4 linked regions of the Arabidopsis thaliana genome follow. The protein of the gene in region 1 interacts with the protein of each later gene in a pairwise test. Each region holds a gene or a part of one and is shown in the gene's direction. Other genes may lie near its edges.

What was found.
Region 2: the proteins of WR3 (region 1) and NRT2:1 interact in a two-hybrid assay, tested with the Arabidopsis thaliana proteins (one study listed by BioGRID).
Region 3: the proteins of WR3 (region 1) and NRT2.6 interact in a two-hybrid assay, tested with the Arabidopsis thaliana proteins (one study listed by BioGRID).
Region 4: the proteins of WR3 (region 1) and NRT2.4 interact in a two-hybrid assay, tested with the Arabidopsis thaliana proteins (one study listed by BioGRID).

The regions. Positions count from the first base shown.
Region 1 is NC_003076.8:20,434,140-20,438,349, forward strand, and holds WR3 (nitrate transmembrane transporter), read left to right. Parts: upstream 1-2,040; 5' UTR 2,041-2,168; coding exon 2,169-2,170; exon of another isoform or gene 2,171-2,256; intron 2,257-2,286; exon of another isoform or gene 2,287-2,472; coding exon of another isoform or gene 2,473-2,474; coding exon 2,475-2,623; intron 2,624-2,914; coding exon 2,915-3,396; 3' UTR 3,397-3,587; downstream 3,588-4,210. UniProt on the Arabidopsis thaliana protein: Acts as a dual component transporter with NTR2.1. Required for high-affinity nitrate transport. Acts as a repressor of lateral root initiation. May be involved in targeting NRT2 proteins to the plasma membrane.
Region 2 is NC_003070.9:2,522,029-2,526,855, forward strand, and holds NRT2:1 (nitrate transporter 2:1), read left to right. Parts: upstream 1-1,994; 5' UTR 1,995-2,110; coding exon 2,111-2,920; intron 2,921-3,020; coding exon 3,021-3,136; intron 3,137-3,225; coding exon 3,226-3,892; 3' UTR 3,893-4,294; downstream 4,295-4,827. UniProt on the Arabidopsis thaliana protein: Involved in nitrate transport, but does not seem to be able to mediate transport by its own. Acts as a dual component transporter with NTR3.1. Acts as a repressor of lateral root initiation under high sucrose/low nitrate conditions.
Region 3 is NC_003074.8:16,476,955-16,481,678, reverse strand, and holds NRT2.6 (high affinity nitrate transporter 2.6), read left to right. Parts: upstream 1-2,119; 5' UTR 2,120-2,292; coding exon 2,293-3,132; intron 3,133-3,219; coding exon 3,220-4,008; 3' UTR 4,009-4,118; downstream 4,119-4,724. Other genes in the region: AT3G45050 (uncharacterized protein), read right to left, coding at 4,572-4,659. UniProt on the Arabidopsis thaliana protein: Involved in high-affinity nitrate transport. Required for the nitrate uptake-independent plant growth promotion and lateral root response to the rhizospheric Phyllobacterium.
Region 4 is NC_003076.8:24,442,566-24,447,991, forward strand, and holds NRT2.4 (nitrate transporter 2.4), read left to right. Parts: upstream 1-1,799; 5' UTR 1,800-1,830; coding exon 1,831-2,288; intron 2,289-2,524; coding exon 2,525-2,876; intron 2,877-3,240; coding exon 3,241-3,356; intron 3,357-3,803; coding exon 3,804-4,461; 3' UTR 4,462-4,562; downstream 4,563-5,426.

The DNA.
Region 1 (4,210 bases):
TGGAATCCATTTCTGTGATATCTAAGAGAAGAATTCAAAGGTTAATAAGAATAAAGCAATAATGACTTGTCTTATAACGAAAACCAAAAACTTTCAGAATAAAACCTTTTGAAGAGTTTGGCTAAGATCTTGTTGCCGCAGAGTCACTATATATGCTTGCAACCATAATAAAAAAAAAGAGGATCATTTAAGATTGATCACTATGACAATTTTATCGATGTTAATTATGAACCTTCTTATAGAGTTACCTGAGTTTTATTTAGGTTTAGACCAAGCAACTTCCCATCGATCTGAACACAAGTAAAAAAAAAGTAAAGAAAGCTTTTGAATATGTACATACATCAGATCCAAGGGACACCATGTTTCTTACATTTTCAAGCTTTGAGCCAAGTTCCGCGACTTTCTTTTCTGCGATTTCAGCTCGAGTTTCCACTTCCAGACTTCTCTTGCGTTGCATTTCCACTTCTTCTCGTAGTTCAAGTATCTGCCAATGCAGAACTAAATTGAGGTAACAAAACAAGAAGGAAATACACACCTCAAACTACAAAACACCAACCTGTTTCTGAAGTTCATAAGCCGTTCCTTCTGCTTCACTGGATTCTCAGTCTAAATAAAAAAGCATCAACAGCAACAAAAGTGTAAATAAGTTTCTTCTATACATAACAATTTTGAATACATGAACCAAAGATTAATTAAAAATATCACTTGAAGAGATCCAACCACATCAAAGATGATGCAGCTTGAGTAATTGTTAACTCTTTCCAACTTTGGAAAGAGACAAAACGTCAAAGTGATTTCCAGAAACAGAGAACGGAAGCTCAAAAGTCTCTCTTGTGCCAAATATATTAAACCCTAAAAAATTCAACTTCTATCCGAATTTCTCAGAAACAAAACAAAGACACATAACTTCATATGAAATTCCAGTGAACGGTTACCTGAGGAAGAACCTTATTTGTTATCAGTGTAAAATAACAGAGAAGAGGTACGAGTAAAAGAAACAAAAGTGACTTAGGAAACGCCATTGTTGGAGACTGCTCACTGGAAGATAGAGAGTCGTGAGAGACAGTGATAAAGCGTATCAAGTCATATAGAGGGTCTTCTTATCTTTTTCTTTAACATGTGAGGGTTGAGTTAATTATGCGGGCTGATTATAGAGTTTTTAAATTGAATTTACGATTGTTTTTTTCTTACATATAAATGCAATCTATATTTGTGTTCGGAATAACCCATCTAATATTACTCCATGTATTAAACTAAAATATTTTGCATGTTTTGGTAGATCAACTTTTTGAATGATCACAGACCTACAAACATCAACCCTCTAATTATCCAATTTTACCATAATCCACGAGCTCTTAAAATTCATTTTTAATATATATAATTAAAATAGTTCAAACAGTTTAAACTTTGTGACCAAGTTAAAATATTTAAAATAGTTTGACTTTGTGATCAACATATTTAAATATAATCAATATTTTCATTTTTAAGCCGGAAAATCACGTCTTACAAATATATTTCTGATAGACACACCTATAATTCCAAAATTTTGACTTTTAAAACAAACAAAAAAAAATCTCATTAATACCACTACATACGTTTTTACAAAAATACCATTAAAAGATATTTTTTCAAATACTAAAAAAAACTAAAACTAAACTTTAAACCTATAAAACACTAAATCCTATAAAGTTTATATTCGAGTATAAACCTTAAAAGTTCAACCCTAAATCCTGAAAGCAAGACCCTAAACCCAAACTCAAACTTTTAAATTATAAATCCTTAAACAAAATCATTTTTAGTCTTTATGGTATTTTTAGAGTTAACAGTTTGTAGTTGTATTTTTGAAAAAAAAACACTAGTGATAGGTTTTTAGAATAAAAACTTAATTTAGTGGTATTGAGGATATTTCTCTAATAAAAATTATTCACAAAAAATATGTATTAAAGCAAAGTGCTATGCTTATTCCATGCAATCTTTTTTGAAAAAAAAAATATTTTCTAACCGATTAGTATATCTTCTAGAGGATTCATAGAAAAAGAGGATACAATTACAATATGTAGAGTATCTTATAGGTGACGTAACCATGAAATATAGAATTCTTTGGAATCTGAAACTGAATTATTCAGTTGATAAATGATAAAACAAATACTCATATCTCATCCTTTGGCATGTTTAGGAGCCATCTCTCAGCTGGACGGAGACAACACAGACACTTGTGCCAGAGAGGGAACACAATCTTCCCAAGTCTTCGAAAGGGTAATCTCAGACCAAACCGTTGACTTTGTTCTCATTAATTGTTTATGCTAAACCACAAGATATTTGGATCAAAAGTATTACCATAAATCACTATATAAAGACATAAATGTGCACCCCACTTTTCTTATCAATCATAAAAGTCAGCAAAACACAAGGCATATTCCTCTTCTCTTCCTCAGCCTTATTTTTCTGATATTCAGTTTCAAGGATATATCCATGGCGATCCAGAAGATCCTCTTTGCTTCACTTCTCATATGCTCACTGATCCAATCCATCCACGGGGCGGAAAAAGTAAGACTCTTCAAAGAGCTGGACAAAGGTGCACTTGATGTCACCACTAAACCCAGCCGAGAAGGACCAGGTGTTGGTATGTATAATTCTCTTCAAAACATCTATCATTTGCTACTTCATTAGCCATGCCTTATAAATGTGCGATTTTGCTCTAATACCATGTTAGATTTTAAAGCTTTATGAATGTTAAGACAAATTTTTATGAGTGTTGGAAACATTAGTTCTCTTTAGTCGTTTATTACAACATCATTAGATCTTATCCTATTAATTAGAATTACTTAGAATTAAGTGATATGAATGATAGTATGATCTAATATCAATTTACAAGAATAAGTTGGAATTAATATTTTGAATGTTTGGTCTTTAGTTTTGGATGCCGGCAAGGATACGTTGAACATTACATGGACGCTAAGCTCGATTGGGTCTAAAAGAGAGGCTGAATTTAAGATCATCAAAGTTAAGCTATGCTACGCTCCACCTAGCCAAGTTGACCGACCATGGCGCAAAACCCATGACGAGCTCTTCAAAGACAAGACCTGCCCACACAAGATCATAGCCAAGCCTTATGACAAAACACTTCAATCAACTACTTGGACTCTTGAGCGTGACATCCCCACCGGAACCTACTTCGTTCGTGCCTACGCGGTTGATGCCATTGGCCATGAAGTTGCCTATGGACAGAGCACCGACGATGCCAAGAAAACCAATCTCTTCAGCGTTCAGGCTATCAGTGGCCGCCACGCGTCCCTAGATATTGCCTCCATCTGTTTCAGTGTCTTCTCCGTCGTGGCTCTTGTCGTCTTCTTTGTCAATGAGAAGAGGAAGGCCAAGATAGAGCAAAGCAAATGAGTCGTTTACTTTGCGTATTTGTGACGTTGAACCCAAAAAAAGTTGACTTTGAACTTTCTTGTTTACCAATTCCTTTTGTCTTGTTGCACACTTCTTCTTTCTTATATGCTTTTATTTATGTGTTTGTACAATTAAGCCATTGATATGGAACAAAACTAATCCTACGGTGGTGATGCGTTTGTGTGCTTTATATATTTTTTATACACCTTTTGATATATTCTTACACACTTTTTTCACAAAGATTGATATTTGCATAATTTGTGGTAATCATTCTCAAAATACGGTATATATACTTCACCTCTTACTTTCAAAGAGAAATCATAAGTATAACTAAGCAATAATTCTATATATAGGGAATTATGATATAAAATTTATCCAAATTTTCAAAATATTAAACAAATATCTAACAAGTACCTAAAAATTTAAAATTTCAAGAAATGAATGGAGTATAATAAAGGTTCCTATAATAAAAGCTGGAAAAAAAATGTAGTATAACAAAATAACAATACGTGACTTTTTTTTTTGTCGTCACAAAACATAACTTTTAAATGCAAAATGGAACTTTGTAATATGAAAAGTTGTAAAGAGATTGAAAGACACCATTAACGTTTGTCGTCTAAGCCTTGATATGCTAAAAGTGATAAGCATGATGAATTGCTGACAGCGATCCCGATCATCATTAAGATTAGGTTGTCATCAAGATCTAGTTTGGGGTTACTCAAAATGTCAAACATGTCGACACATAATAAGTTTACTATATTTGTAACTATATACTAGTAATAGATGCACTGAGGTCAGCCAATGTGAGTGTGAT
Region 2 (4,827 bases), on another chromosome or scaffold:
CTACAGATTTTTCTAGGTTTCTCAGATAAGTTTACAAAGTGGTTCCTTCACGAATAAACGTAGCCCTAAAACTCACTTATCCTCTAGTTTTTGGGAGATAATTACGTGGCTCGCTGCCTTTTTTTTTTTTTTCTTCCTCATGTCGGTAATTTTGGGTTTCGAATACAAGCAAATGAATTTTGAGCATTACATCACTGTTCCGAAGATCCTTAATTTGTTGGTTTTTATGTTCAAACTAATAAAACCATGCATGTCATTTGGCTTAATAACTTGATGTCATTCAAAAAGTAAATAAACTGGATAAACATCTTACGACTTCTTTTATCGGTCAGTGAAAAACATTATTACTAAACGCTGGTATTATAATAAACTGGATGACATTAAAGTTCATACTTCATTTTGTAATTAGAAAACTTCTTTCTATTTATATATTTCTAATCTAATTTATTTATTTTCCTTACAGTAATTTTAAAAATGAAAAAGAATCTTTGAATTGTAGTTAAATATATAAATCATAATGTGTAATTCTGTACTTTAATTTAAATTAATGAGGTAATATCATGGATAATCATTATTAATTTCTCTGACGTGTTGATAATCACATTATAATTATAGGATTCTCTTTTGTCCGGTACACATATGTGTCAGATTATTTAAGGAATGTACACACATTTAATGGAGAAAAGATAATGAGCTCATCGAAATAGTTGACTTTTTCACAATTTAGACATGAAATTTTTGTCTTTTATCAAATCCCAACTTGTTGGAAATTTGACACGTCAGCGAGATTGATCGATACGCACTTAGTCGTTTGACTTTTTCAAATACCCATCGCTACAAGAGTACGGAAATTTGCGTGCAACCACATTCTAATTATACGCATATCTACATATCAATCCACCGCACCGTCTAATCTACTCTATGATATTTTCAAGACCTTTTCAAAAATTCAGATCCGCTAGCTACTACGAAAATCTAAATGACTAAAATAAAACTCTTAATCGTTAACTAGATATGTTTCTATAATAATATATGTATATCATACTGTTTTATTTAGTTTGCCGTTTTTCTTTGTTCTAAAGTTTTTTTTTGGTGTGTTTAACACTAGTAATTTTTTTGTTCTTTTTAATGTTAAAATAGATATTTTCACCATCACATATACATTGACATACGTATCTAGGGTTTAGATGAAGACATGTACACACACGATATTGATATTTAACTATGTGTTTTTCCTTAATCAACGATTTCAATTTTTCACACCGAAAATGACATATGAAATCAATAAAATAGTTCTACTAAAAGTCCTATATATGCAATCGTAAGCAATTTGAAGAGACAACTAATGTGCAGCTAAGGCCACTCTAAATCCGACCGCCAAGGAGATCAATTAGTTTATTCACTAAAGGATCATCTTCCCCTTTTGTGAATACTATTTATTACCAAAACAAAACAAAAAAAACTATTCACAGTTACAATGACAAAGATAACCCTCCATAATTAATTAGGATCATAGACTAGTAACCATTCATATAGAAAATATCGTCGCCGTTACTTACGTAGCCTAAATGATAACTCATGCAGTCATGCTGTTACAGCAGTTCAAATTAAGTGTCCAGGTTATGACTTGGTGAAAGAGGACCAAACTTTTAAACCTTAAGAAAAGAAGAGGAAAAAAACAATTAGCCTATCCTGTATCACTGTATGTAACCAGACTTATGTTTGGTTTCCACGCAATTTGACGGATACATGTTTCTATGATAATAATAATGATAGTTTTATTACTAACACAACCATATTGTTGACTATCCATCCATAAATCATTAAATCGCAAGATGAGGGAAGGGTAGAGCGGTCATTTGGAAGGATATCGGCAACCTTTGGTGATAAGCGAGAGACTAGGAAGATGCTTGCGGCGAAAATGGATTCCTCGAAAATTAATATTTAAATCGATAGTTAACCGTTGAGAATCTCCAAAGAATGCTTTTTTCATTGTCAACACTGGCTAGGAACCCTATATAAGCCATCGTGTGATTAATATTCAGACATCGATCAAATAAACTTGAATCAAATCTCAAACTTGCAAAGAAACTTGAAATATTTTATAACAATGGGTGATTCTACTGGTGAGCCGGGGAGCTCCATGCATGGAGTCACCGGTAGAGAACAAAGCTTTGCTTTCTCGGTGCAATCACCAATTGTGCATACCGACAAGACGGCCAAGTTCGACCTTCCGGTGGACACAGAGCATAAGGCAACGGTTTTCAAGCTCTTCTCCTTCGCCAAACCTCACATGAGAACGTTCCATCTCTCGTGGATCTCTTTCTCCACATGTTTTGTCTCGACTTTCGCAGCTGCACCACTTGTCCCTATCATCCGGGAGAATCTCAACCTCACCAAACAAGACATTGGAAACGCCGGAGTTGCCTCTGTCTCTGGGAGTATCTTCTCTAGGCTCGTGATGGGAGCCGTGTGTGATCTTTTGGGTCCCCGTTACGGTTGTGCCTTCCTTGTGATGTTGTCTGCCCCAACGGTGTTCTCCATGAGCTTCGTGAGTGACGCAGCAGGCTTCATAACGGTGAGGTTCATGATTGGTTTTTGCCTGGCGACGTTTGTGTCTTGTCAATACTGGATGAGCACTATGTTCAACAGTCAGATCATTGGTCTGGTGAATGGGACAGCAGCCGGATGGGGAAACATGGGTGGCGGCATAACGCAGTTGCTCATGCCCATTGTGTATGAAATCATTAGGCGCTGCGGTTCCACAGCCTTCACGGCCTGGAGGATCGCCTTCTTTGTACCCGGTTGGTTGCACATCATCATGGGAATCTTGGTGCTCAATCTAGGTCAAGATCTGCCAGATGGAAATCGAGCTACCTTGGAGAAAGCGGGAGAAGTTGCCAAAGACAAATTCGGAAAGGTATATTTATCTATATAAATATATATTCCTTAATAATTTAGGCTGCTTATGTTACAGATGGATCAAAAGATTAACTCGTGATATCGTATAAATGTTGTAGATTCTGTGGTATGCCGTTACAAACTACAGGACTTGGATCTTCGTTCTTCTCTACGGATACTCCATGGGAGTTGAGTTGAGCACTGATAATGTTATCGCCGAGTACTTCTTTGACAGGTTTGTTTTTGATCTCGATTGGAAAATAGAAGAATTAAATTATAACATAAGAGTAAAACTAATGTATACATCATACATGGTTTGTCCAGGTTTCACTTGAAGCTCCACACAGCAGGGCTCATAGCAGCATGTTTCGGAATGGCCAATTTCTTTGCTCGTCCAGCAGGAGGCTACGCATCTGACTTTGCAGCCAAGTACTTCGGGATGAGAGGGAGGTTGTGGACGTTGTGGATCATACAGACGGCTGGTGGCCTCTTCTGTGTGTGGCTCGGCCGCGCCAACACCCTTGTAACTGCCGTTGTGGCTATGGTGCTCTTCTCTATGGGGGCACAAGCTGCTTGCGGAGCCACCTTTGCAATTGTGCCCTTTGTCTCCCGGCGAGCTCTAGGCATCATCTCGGGTTTAACCGGGGCTGGAGGGAACTTTGGATCAGGGCTCACACAACTCCTCTTCTTCTCGACCTCACACTTCACAACTGAACAAGGGCTAACGTGGATGGGAGTGATGATAGTCGCTTGCACGTTACCTGTGACCTTAGTTCACTTTCCTCAATGGGGAAGCATGTTCTTGCCTCCTTCCACAGATCCAGTGAAAGGTACAGAGGCTCATTATTATGGTTCTGAGTGGAATGAGCAGGAGAAGCAGAAGAACATGCATCAAGGAAGCCTCCGGTTTGCCGAGAACGCCAAGTCAGAGGGTGGACGCCGCGTCCGCTCTGCTGCTACGCCGCCTGAGAACACACCCAACAATGTTTGATCATACATTCCACCCACGGTGGAATGGTGAAGGATGATCGCATATAAGAATATGTCACACAGTGAAAAAAAAAAATGCAAATGTTATCAATGCTTGCATAACATTACTATCTATCTTTCATTTACTAAACAAACCTTTTGCTTTTTGCCTTGAAATCTTTTTATTATATATCAAAATATATCTCTATGTCTTGAGATTTGATTATTTTGCATATATCATTAATGATTTGATAATATTGGAACTGGAAACTCCTTTGTTCAATTCATTAAAGAATTACACCGCACAATAAAGACTATCATTGTATCCCTTAAGTTGGTAAGGTGGGCGAAGGTAGGGTTAAGAAATGATCATGACATTTACTTTATACTTAGCCTTGAGAGGTGACCAACTACTAAATTGTCTGATTTCTTATTATCTCTGATCCCTATATCAAACTCACGTAGAAGTAGAAATCCAGTGTATGTAGTTTTCATTTGGCGTTTATTTCGTCAGTTGGAAAGTAGGAAAAGTGAGTATTGTGGGATATAGATGTTGAGAATGGTAGCTTTGGCAGTGCTGAGTTTCCATGTTGTTGATGTTTCAATAGGATATTAATTGGAGATAATTTCAATAGTTTGCTCTAAACCCCTTAGTTGGCAATTCTTTTGACTTCCAAAGTTCATCATCCTGGTACTCCTTGTACACAATATAGTCATCACAATAGTTAACCGTCCGTAAAACCTATCAAATTGACCTTGTAATCAATAGGATCCTCAATGATTATAAATTCTGAACTTTTATTTTGGTACCATTTTGATGAGTCTAAACATGATCTCGAAATTATTGCTCTCAAACAGGAAATATTTTTACAGGTTTAGAACTGGTTTGTTTTGTATGTGCAGAAAGTTTTAGAACTGATAAAATATTTATTTTAACACAAATTCATCCGGATATTT
Region 3 (4,724 bases), on another chromosome or scaffold:
TAGATTTACAGGATCACTTTTGAAACTTTTACAATATAGGAATATATATTTCACTAGCTTATGCTAGAAGGACAATTAGCTAGAAATCTCGTGAAACAACCAAGTTTTTCTCTAAAATACTGGAGCTAACGATGGTTTATATGTATGTTTTTGATAACATTGTCAAATGTGATATAAATTAGTTAGATCTTGTTGTTGTGCATTAGCTTTTTGAATCGAATATAATATCACTAGAAATCTAGCAAGTTGCAACTACTTTTAAGAGAAAAACGTACACTTTATACAAGTCAAAGACCATCCCGATGAAAGATCAATGGTTACGAGTTTTTGTTTGACTTATCCCGCATTATTGGAATTTTCTTTACCTATAAAGATAGGACTTTTCTTTACTTGGTTACGTAAAATGCACCAAAAAAAAAGAAGACAAAAGAATTAAAGAAACATGTTCTTTACCTATAATTCACTACAAACTATTAAACTAAATAAATGACAAAATGATATAAATTTTTTTAACAAATGCATCAATCTGTATGGACTAACTAAAATTATAGTAATTATTAGGCTATTCATAAAAAACAAATTGAGTTTTTAATATTCAATATAGTGACATAGTGTGTAACAAACTAATTAATAAAGATTATCTAGATGGTACGGGGATCGAGGAATATGTAAGAAAGATAACTTATCGCTACATTCAATTCATTTGATAACTTTCAAAAGCTGATGTTACTTGTTTCGTTCTTTTTGGTTGCCAAAATTTTGCTCTCTGCAATTTTAGTTTTTTTTCTAAAATATGAGTTTACGTTCCAAATAAGAAATGATCGACCTTGTTTTAAACCCCCAAAAATAAATAAAGATCAAGAGATTTTCATATCTTATGGTATTATTGGGTAATTGAAAGCAAAAAAAAAAAAATGAATTTTTGAATAAAGTTGATACAACTATTTCCAAAAGTAAAATTAATTTGATGAGTCGACCACATGGAATACACAAAAGACAAACTGCAATTATTTTTAGAAGAATGAGCTTTTTACAATGAACCGTACGATCTCATAGTCTCATTGACCTTTGGTTGATGTCAAATGTCAAACATTTGTCTCTCCATAAAGATATTCTTGTACTTAGATGACTCTATAACAAAAAAATAAAAAGAATAAGAAGATATTCTCGTAAATTAACAATATTTATATATAATGTATAAGTATAACCATTAAACAAAAAGATCAACAATATTTTCAAAATATTATAGTAAGCTGGAAACATCAATGCATTAGGTAAGACACATGCATGTTGTACATTAGCTACGGATGCGCAAAATGGACGCTAAGCCGGCGGTGAAAGAGACACGTTGTTCTTCTGCATTTTATTCCATTCGTACGTAATAGTTAATTCTATAAAGTTATATAATGTTTCGACTTGATAGAGATATGGTACAAGTAGTCAATGAAACGTATTTTCTAATTAAGTTAAGTTATAAACATTTTAATAGTAAATGGAGCACGTAATTTGCATTATGCAAAAACACACATATGCTTAGTTCTAATAGGATATTCTCTTTTCCGAATGAACTATTTTTGGAGCGGTGGACTTTTTTTTTTTATTAACCGATATTAATTAGATAAAATTTAGGAGAGCCATTCATAATAATGTTATTTATATATGTTATATGATGCAGTTCGGTATAGATTTTTCGTGTCAAATTGTCCGTTTTGATATTTGCACTACGAAAGATTAAAGATAAAGAAAAGCTAGTGAACTTTCTCTTATCGTTTCGTAATTTTTCTTCTGATCATTCGGTTATACGTGAACTTTCTCTTATCCTTCGTAATTTTTCTTCTGATAATTCGGTTAGAGAAAATATATACTATCTTCGACCCTCAACACAGTTTATTAACAAAATATATAAATAAATCAGGACTTTTTTTTTTTTTTTGCTATTGAAAACGTTTGCAAAAACCTACAAAGAGACTACATCTAAAATGTACAAGAGACTTTACATATTGATTGTTTTCTACCAATAAATTTCGTAATACTATTTCACCAAAAAAAAAATTAAAACAAAAAGCCATCGCTCATTTCATTTCACGTAGTATTATTCAACTCTTATTATTGGATCCACCTAACCGTACCCACCAAAAATCTCTATAAATACTATGCAACTCATCTTCTCCAACTTACACCAAAAACAGAAAACAACAAAGGCCACAAAGAAGAAGAAAACCTTCTTCAACGTTTAAAGTCTCTTCTCTCTCTCTCTCTTAACTTCTCCCATTTTCTTTGAACTAAAGATCAATGGCTCACAACCATTCTAATGAAGACGGCTCTATTGGAACCTCCTTGCATGGAGTCACGGCAAGGGAGCAAGTCTTCTCCTTCTCCGTCCAAGAAGATGTCCCTTCATCTCAAGCCGTCCGAACAAACGATCCAACGGCTAAGTTTGCCCTACCAGTGGACTCCGAACATAGGGCAAAAGTGTTCAAACCACTATCATTCGCTAAACCACATATGAGAGCCTTCCACTTAGGATGGATCTCTTTCTTCACTTGCTTCATCTCCACCTTCGCAGCCGCACCTCTAGTCCCCGTCATTCGCGACAATCTCGACCTGACCAAAACCGACATCGGAAATGCTGGAGTTGCATCAGTTTCCGGCGCCATTTTCTCGAGACTCGCTATGGGTGCTGTATGTGACCTTCTAGGGGCACGTTATGGAACCGCCTTCTCACTTATGCTTACAGCTCCAGCAGTTTTCTCCATGTCGTTCGTAGCTGACGCGGGAAGCTACTTAGCCGTAAGGTTCATGATCGGTTTTTGCTTAGCAACGTTCGTATCATGTCAGTACTGGACGAGTGTTATGTTCACTGGAAAGATTATCGGACTCGTTAACGGATGTGCTGGAGGGTGGGGAGATATGGGAGGAGGAGTGACTCAGCTACTAATGCCAATGGTCTTCCACGTCATCAAACTCACCGGAGCCACTCCCTTCACGGCTTGGAGGTTCGCCTTCTTCATCCCCGGCATTCTTCAGATAGTTATGGGTATTCTCGTTCTCACTCTCGGCCAAGATCTTCCCGATGGTAACCTCAGTACTCTCCAAAAGAGTGGTCAAGTTTCTAAAGACAAATTCTCCAAGGTAATATATTAAACATGATCAATATTTTTAGGACAATACTAGCAATAATGCATGTGGTTCTAATTACAATTTTGTTTTGTTTAATAGGTCTTTTGGTTCGCTGTGAAAAACTATAGAACATGGATCTTATTCATGCTCTATGGATTTTCTATGGGAGTTGAATTAACGATCAACAACGTTATATCTGGATACTTCTACGATAGGTTTAACCTTACGCTTCACACAGCTGGTATTATAGCAGCCAGCTTTGGTATGGCAAACTTCTTTGCCCGTCCTTTTGGTGGCTACGCTTCAGATGTAGCTGCACGGCTCTTCGGTATGAGGGGACGGTTATGGATCTTGTGGATCTTACAAACTGTTGGAGCTCTCTTTTGCATCTGGCTTGGTCGTGCTAGTTCACTACCTATAGCTATCTTAGCCATGATGCTTTTTTCCATGGGCACACAAGCTGCTTGTGGAGCTCTCTTTGGTGTTGCTCCTTTTGTTTCCCGCCGTTCTCTTGGACTTATCTCGGGATTAACTGGTGCTGGTGGAAATTTTGGGTCGGGAGTTACTCAACTTCTTTTCTTCTCTTCCTCGAGGTTTAGTACGGCGGAAGGACTATCGTTGATGGGCGTTATGGCTGTTGTGTGCTCTCTTCCGGTTGCGTTTATACATTTTCCGCAGTGGGGAAGCATGTTCTTGAGGCCATCACAAGATGGAGAGAAATCAAAGGAAGAGCATTACTATGGAGCGGAATGGACAGAGGAAGAGAAGAGCTTAGGACTACACGAAGGAAGCATTAAATTTGCTGAAAACAGCCGGTCAGAGAGAGGCCGCAAGGCGATGTTGGCTGATATTCCAACGCCGGAAACCGGATCTCCGGCTCATGTCTAGTGAAGGATAGTCACATTACATCTTTTTCCACATATAAATAACCCTCAAACTTAGCTTTATGTTTGCATGTTTTATGTTCCTCTTATGAGAGATGTACCGAGTAAGATCCTGACTTGATAAGTGAGGTTCAGTGAGCTCGGTGCTCATGATGTACAATGTCGTTTGATATAAGACTTATGCATCAGTTTTCTCTCTGTTTTATCAACAAGCCGTGTCTTTAAAAGTCTTCCAAGATCATATTATTGATTTAACAAAATCGATCAAATACTGAAAATGAGAAGAGTGTTTTGAGGCACAACTAGTCATACCTTAAGAAGAAGCAATTGACTTTAGTAATCTTTACGTCTCAGAAACAGATCACATTAAAGAATCTGGAAAGAGTAAGAAGCAACTTAACTAGTATGACAGGTGAAGATTGCAAATGTAAAACTTAAAGTTGTATGAAAGTTTTCAAACATTGCAGAATCTTTCATAAATGAAACAAAACAAGAAAGCTATGCTAAACCTTTGAATCGGTTTCTGAAGAAAAGAGTTTAACGTACTTGTAAACTCTGCGTAAGGAGCTAGATGCTTGTCTTTCCACTACCACCACATATCATACAAGATCTCGTGGAAGAACATTTAGTGCAATAGCTCCATTTCTTGGGAAGCCTAAGAATGTGTGTTTATCGACAATCAATGAACGAATATCGATGAGATTGGAGCGAAAGAACACC
Region 4 (5,426 bases), 4.0 Mb from region 1:
GATTCACATTTTGGTACATATACAATCATAAAATTATTTGTGAGCGCCTGTAAATCTGCTGGCATCGTAACTAGCATGTTGCTAACTATAGTTGACAATCCTAAGATTCTTTTTATAGTTTTTGGCTTCTTCGTTTCTTCAGAAATTACTTTCAAATGATCGTCAAAACTCATCATTCCACAATATGTACATACGAAATAAGTTATGGAATAGATATTTATCTTAATGAAGATTTCTCTTTTAAAAAAAAAACTAAAGCACAAAAGTGCTAACTAGAAAAAAGTTCTCGTTCACAAAACATAAAAGTCATTAACTCATTACGAATTAAGAATAATGGACTTAATATAATGTTAAAGGTAAACAAGATCAAACAATAGCACTGTTGCACGTTTCCTCTGGAGTTTCTTAAGGACAAAAAAGGTTTTTATTTGTGAAGGTACAACTGTTATTGCTGTTACAATCTTCCTAAGCATAATTAGGGATCTGATTACATCATCACAACTTTAGTTTAATAAGTGAAAATCTATATATTATTTTGTTTATTTCAATAACATTCTATTATATTAACAAAAAAAAAAAAAAAATCAAATGGAACCTTTGAATCCATGCAAAGACATAGTCACATAGAGAGAGAGAGGACCCACCGGACTCGTTCACATGTATGAATATGGATTGATTTTTATTTCTCTTTTTAAAAAAAAATATGGATCGATTATTGCATCCCATCATGTGGAAATAGCTCATTACCAAGAAAAAAAAAATTACAATGAAATTTTCTTAGATTAATCTCCGAAGTCTGTAGTAGTTAAGCTTACAAACTTCAAGGAAAATCACCTAATAAAAATTCGTGGATTTATTCCATGAGTATGGAGCTATAATTATAAACTTATTAAATAGAGAATAGACTTGATAACTCGCAGTTGATAATGCCTCATGGTACAATCTCTGAAAACATCGATCGAGGTTCGAAATACCACCACAGCAACGCAAAAAGCGTTGGCAAAATGCCAAAATCTCATGATTCTTTGGATTTAATTACTTCACCCAAGTTTAACGATTTTTATCGTTAATTTTCTTTAGGTAATGCTCTTTTGTAATATCTTTACATTTCATTTTCATGATACTAACATTCATAGCAAAACAAAATTATATATTAAATAATGATTTTAAGAAGTAAACATGATTTTTTTTTTCTGTAACTGTAAGACTATGTTATTTATTTTTTATCTGAGAAAAAAAAACTTAGAAAGAAAAGGAATCATATAGAAAAGAGATTACATCATGCGCTGCGACATATAAAGTTTCAAATTATACCGCCGATCTTTATTATATTGATAGTAAACTCTATGAGGATTTGCTGTATTAGACATGAAAAGAAATCGTTGTAAACAGAACCAGAAAGTAGTTTCTCGTTTGAGAAAAAAAAAAAAAAAAAAAACTTCCTAGATATATGGACAGTTTAGTAATATTATATTGTTGATAAATACTAAATTGGAATATAAGTGAAAGTGAACCTTTGGGACGTATGACCAGGCTAAATTCTCGTGTTTGCATGCTCGCGGCGAAAGTGAATATTCCATACTATTAATATAAAGACACAACTTGTATAATTGTAATCAATCTCACATAAACAACTTTGAATCATTAATTATCGTTAAGAACTATACTATTATAGTATCATTTACGTAAAACGAATCCCACTTATAGCCTTTTCGAATCTCCATCGGCTCTTACGAAGTCAACTTTCGTATCTCTATATAAAACCATTCTTCTCCTTCTTGTTCCCTAAACCAAGACCACAAGAAAAAAACATAAAAAAATATTCACAAAATGGCCGATGGTTTTGGTGAACCGGGAAGCTCAATGCATGGAGTCACCGGCAGAGAACAAAGCTATGCATTCTCTGTCGAGTCTCCGGCAGTTCCTTCCGACTCATCAGCAAAATTTTCTCTCCCCGTGGACACCGAACACAAAGCCAAAGTCTTCAAACTCTTATCCTTTGAAGCTCCACATATGAGAACTTTCCATCTTGCTTGGATCTCATTCTTCACTTGCTTCATTTCCACTTTCGCTGCTGCTCCTCTTGTCCCCATCATTAGAGATAACCTTAATCTCACAAGACAAGATGTCGGAAATGCTGGTGTTGCTTCTGTCTCTGGCAGTATCTTCTCTAGGCTTGTTATGGGAGCAGTTTGTGATCTCCTTGGGCCACGTTATGGCTGTGCTTTCCTCGTCATGCTCTCTGCTCCAACCGTCTTCTCCATGTCTTTCGTTGGTGGTGCCGGAGGGTAAGCATTCTTGTGAATTGTAAAATTTCTCAAAAAACTTAAGATTAACTTCACTTAGTCCTATATAAATATATGTACTAATGTACATATGATATGCAGTTATTGAAACAATTTTAAAAGCATTTTTCTAAAAAACCAAAGGATTTCATCTCAAAATTAATTGACAATAAGGAAAGTAGTTTATATAATGGATTATTCTTAATGTGGGTTTCTAACAATATTTTGGCCATATATAGGTACATAACGGTGAGGTTCATGATCGGGTTCTGCCTGGCGACTTTCGTGTCATGCCAGTATTGGATGAGCACAATGTTCAATGGTCAGATCATAGGTCTAGTGAACGGGACAGCGGCAGGGTGGGGGAACATGGGCGGTGGGGTCACTCAGTTGCTCATGCCAATGGTCTATGAGATCATCCGACGGTTAGGGTCCACGTCCTTCACCGCATGGAGGATGGCTTTCTTCGTCCCCGGGTGGATGCACATCATCATGGGGATCTTGGTCTTGACTCTAGGGCAAGACCTCCCTGATGGTAATAGAAGCACACTCGAGAAGAAAGGTGCAGTTACTAAAGACAAGTTCTCAAAGGTACTTTATTAGTACTTAAGTAAAATAAATGTTAATTCTTCTTGGATCCTTTGATTCTTAGTCTTATATATTAGGGTCTGCAGATCGTTGTCTAAATTATATTATTTTCATTGAATATATAAAGAAGGTTGTTCTGATATAGATCTTAGATTAACATTTAGATAGAGACATTAAATTAATCCAAGAAAGCGATTCGACTAACTAAAAAAAAAAAAAAAAAACAATTACGTTTTCATATAGAAAAAGCGAAATCCTTATAATACTCTTCCATAGATTTTTTGTTTTCTCTTTTTTTTTTTTGTTATAGATCTTTTTATTTGGTTAAGAGTAAGACTCACAGTTTTCTGGTGGACAAATTAACCAGGTTTTATGGTACGCGATCACGAACTATAGGACATGGGTTTTCGTGCTGCTATATGGATACTCCATGGGAGTAGAGCTCACAACCGATAACGTCATCGCTGAGTACTTTTTCGACAGGTATAATTATTAAAACTGGTATATAATTTATCGAATCCATAGTCAGTCAGTCTCTAAAGTATAAACAATAATAACAAGGGTTTGATTGCTTTTAGCATATATAGTACTATTATTATTGCAATATACAAGGATTTTGGTTTTTTCCTAACCATTAAAATCAATTTAATTAACGTCAATGCCGCGTGTTAATTGTAGTAGACAGTAAAACTCAAACTCAAATTTGTTGATACCTTGCATGTCGATTTACTACCACAATGTTTTAGCCAAAAAACATATATTTTTGAAAAATGTATTCTACTCATGAAAATGATTCTTGTTAAGCTTTCTTTACATTTCTGTTTTTGTAAATCCACTACTTACATTTCATTTATTTGTTACCGAGTAGACCCTAAATATATAAATTACTTCTATGGATCAAAGACTCAATACATGGCGATCATTTTTCAGGTTCCATCTTAAGCTTCATACCGCCGGTATAATCGCGGCAAGCTTTGGTATGGCAAACTTCTTTGCCCGTCCTATTGGTGGTTGGGCCTCAGATATTGCGGCTAGACGCTTCGGCATGAGAGGCCGTCTCTGGACCCTATGGATCATCCAAACCTTAGGCGGTTTCTTCTGCCTATGGCTAGGCCGAGCCACCACGCTCCCGACCGCGGTTGTCTTCATGATCCTCTTCTCTCTCGGCGCTCAAGCCGCTTGTGGAGCTACCTTTGCTATCATACCTTTCATCTCACGCCGCTCCTTAGGGATCATCTCTGGTCTTACTGGAGCTGGTGGAAACTTCGGCTCTGGTTTGACCCAACTCGTATTCTTCTCGACCTCAACGTTCTCCACGGAACAAGGGCTGACATGGATGGGGGTGATGATTATGGCGTGTACATTACCCGTCACTTTAGTGCACTTCCCGCAATGGGGAAGCATGTTTTTGCCTTCCACGGAAGATGAAGTGAAGTCTACGGAGGAGTATTATTACATGAAAGAGTGGACAGAGACCGAGAAGCGAAAGGGTATGCATGAAGGGAGTTTGAAGTTCGCCGTGAATAGTAGATCGGAGCGTGGACGGCGCGTGGCTTCTGCACCGTCTCCTCCGCCGGAACACGTTTAAGAGTTTTTAAATGTACATGTTGTATCAGTTTCTATATATTTCTCCAAATGTGTAATTAGTTGATCGAATTGCATGCTTTAATTTCTTTTAAAGGATATGCTACTCTTCATGTAATTTCGTAACAATTATATTGTTTTTTTAAATTTCGTATTTATTTTCAGTATCACGTCGATTAATTTGTTTGAACTATAACCTCAATGTGACAAAGTGTGGTCTATATCAGTCTTTGTTTATAATCTTCGTTTTCCTAGTTTTAATGTACCATAATCAAAGTTCGAAATAGCCCATCGAGCCAAATTAGATCACTTCTCTAGATCATGTGGCATTTTTTGTTTTAGTAAAACTCTATGTTCAAAAAATGATACGGTCTGAGTGATATAGACTTTTCAGAAAGCCCATTTATCCCAATTAGATTTCAATTTCTTTCTCAGAATTTGATCAACATATTAGCCCATTATGATTTGTTTTACTTTTCTTAAAACTTGGTTTTACTTTTGTAGTTTTGTTGCGGCGATTCCTTCTAACCGGATAATCTCATAACTAGTATGAAACTTTATGAGTCAACTTTTGATTGAGCAACAAAGTTATGTCATATTGGATTGTTATCATTTTAGTTTTTGTTCTATATCTGTGGAGTTTTCAGTTATGGGTCGAATGCCGAAAATGAATACTAGGCAAAACTTTTTATTGTAAACCAACTTTTTGTCTTATCCGAAACTTTCTGATTAGTAAACACACATTTTTAACTAGTACTCACAGACGAGAACAAGATATGTAGATGACGTGTGTGTTAAAATTCAATGGTTTGAATGATGAGAATTAAGTCAGAGAGGAGACGTACCGTACATCTTCCGCATCCTAAGGACAGAACCCAATGCTGTGATCTGTACGGTTATAAAATAGGAGTACTACTTTAACAGATAAGTCAATTAAGTTATCGTTAATATATTTATTATTTAAGCAAG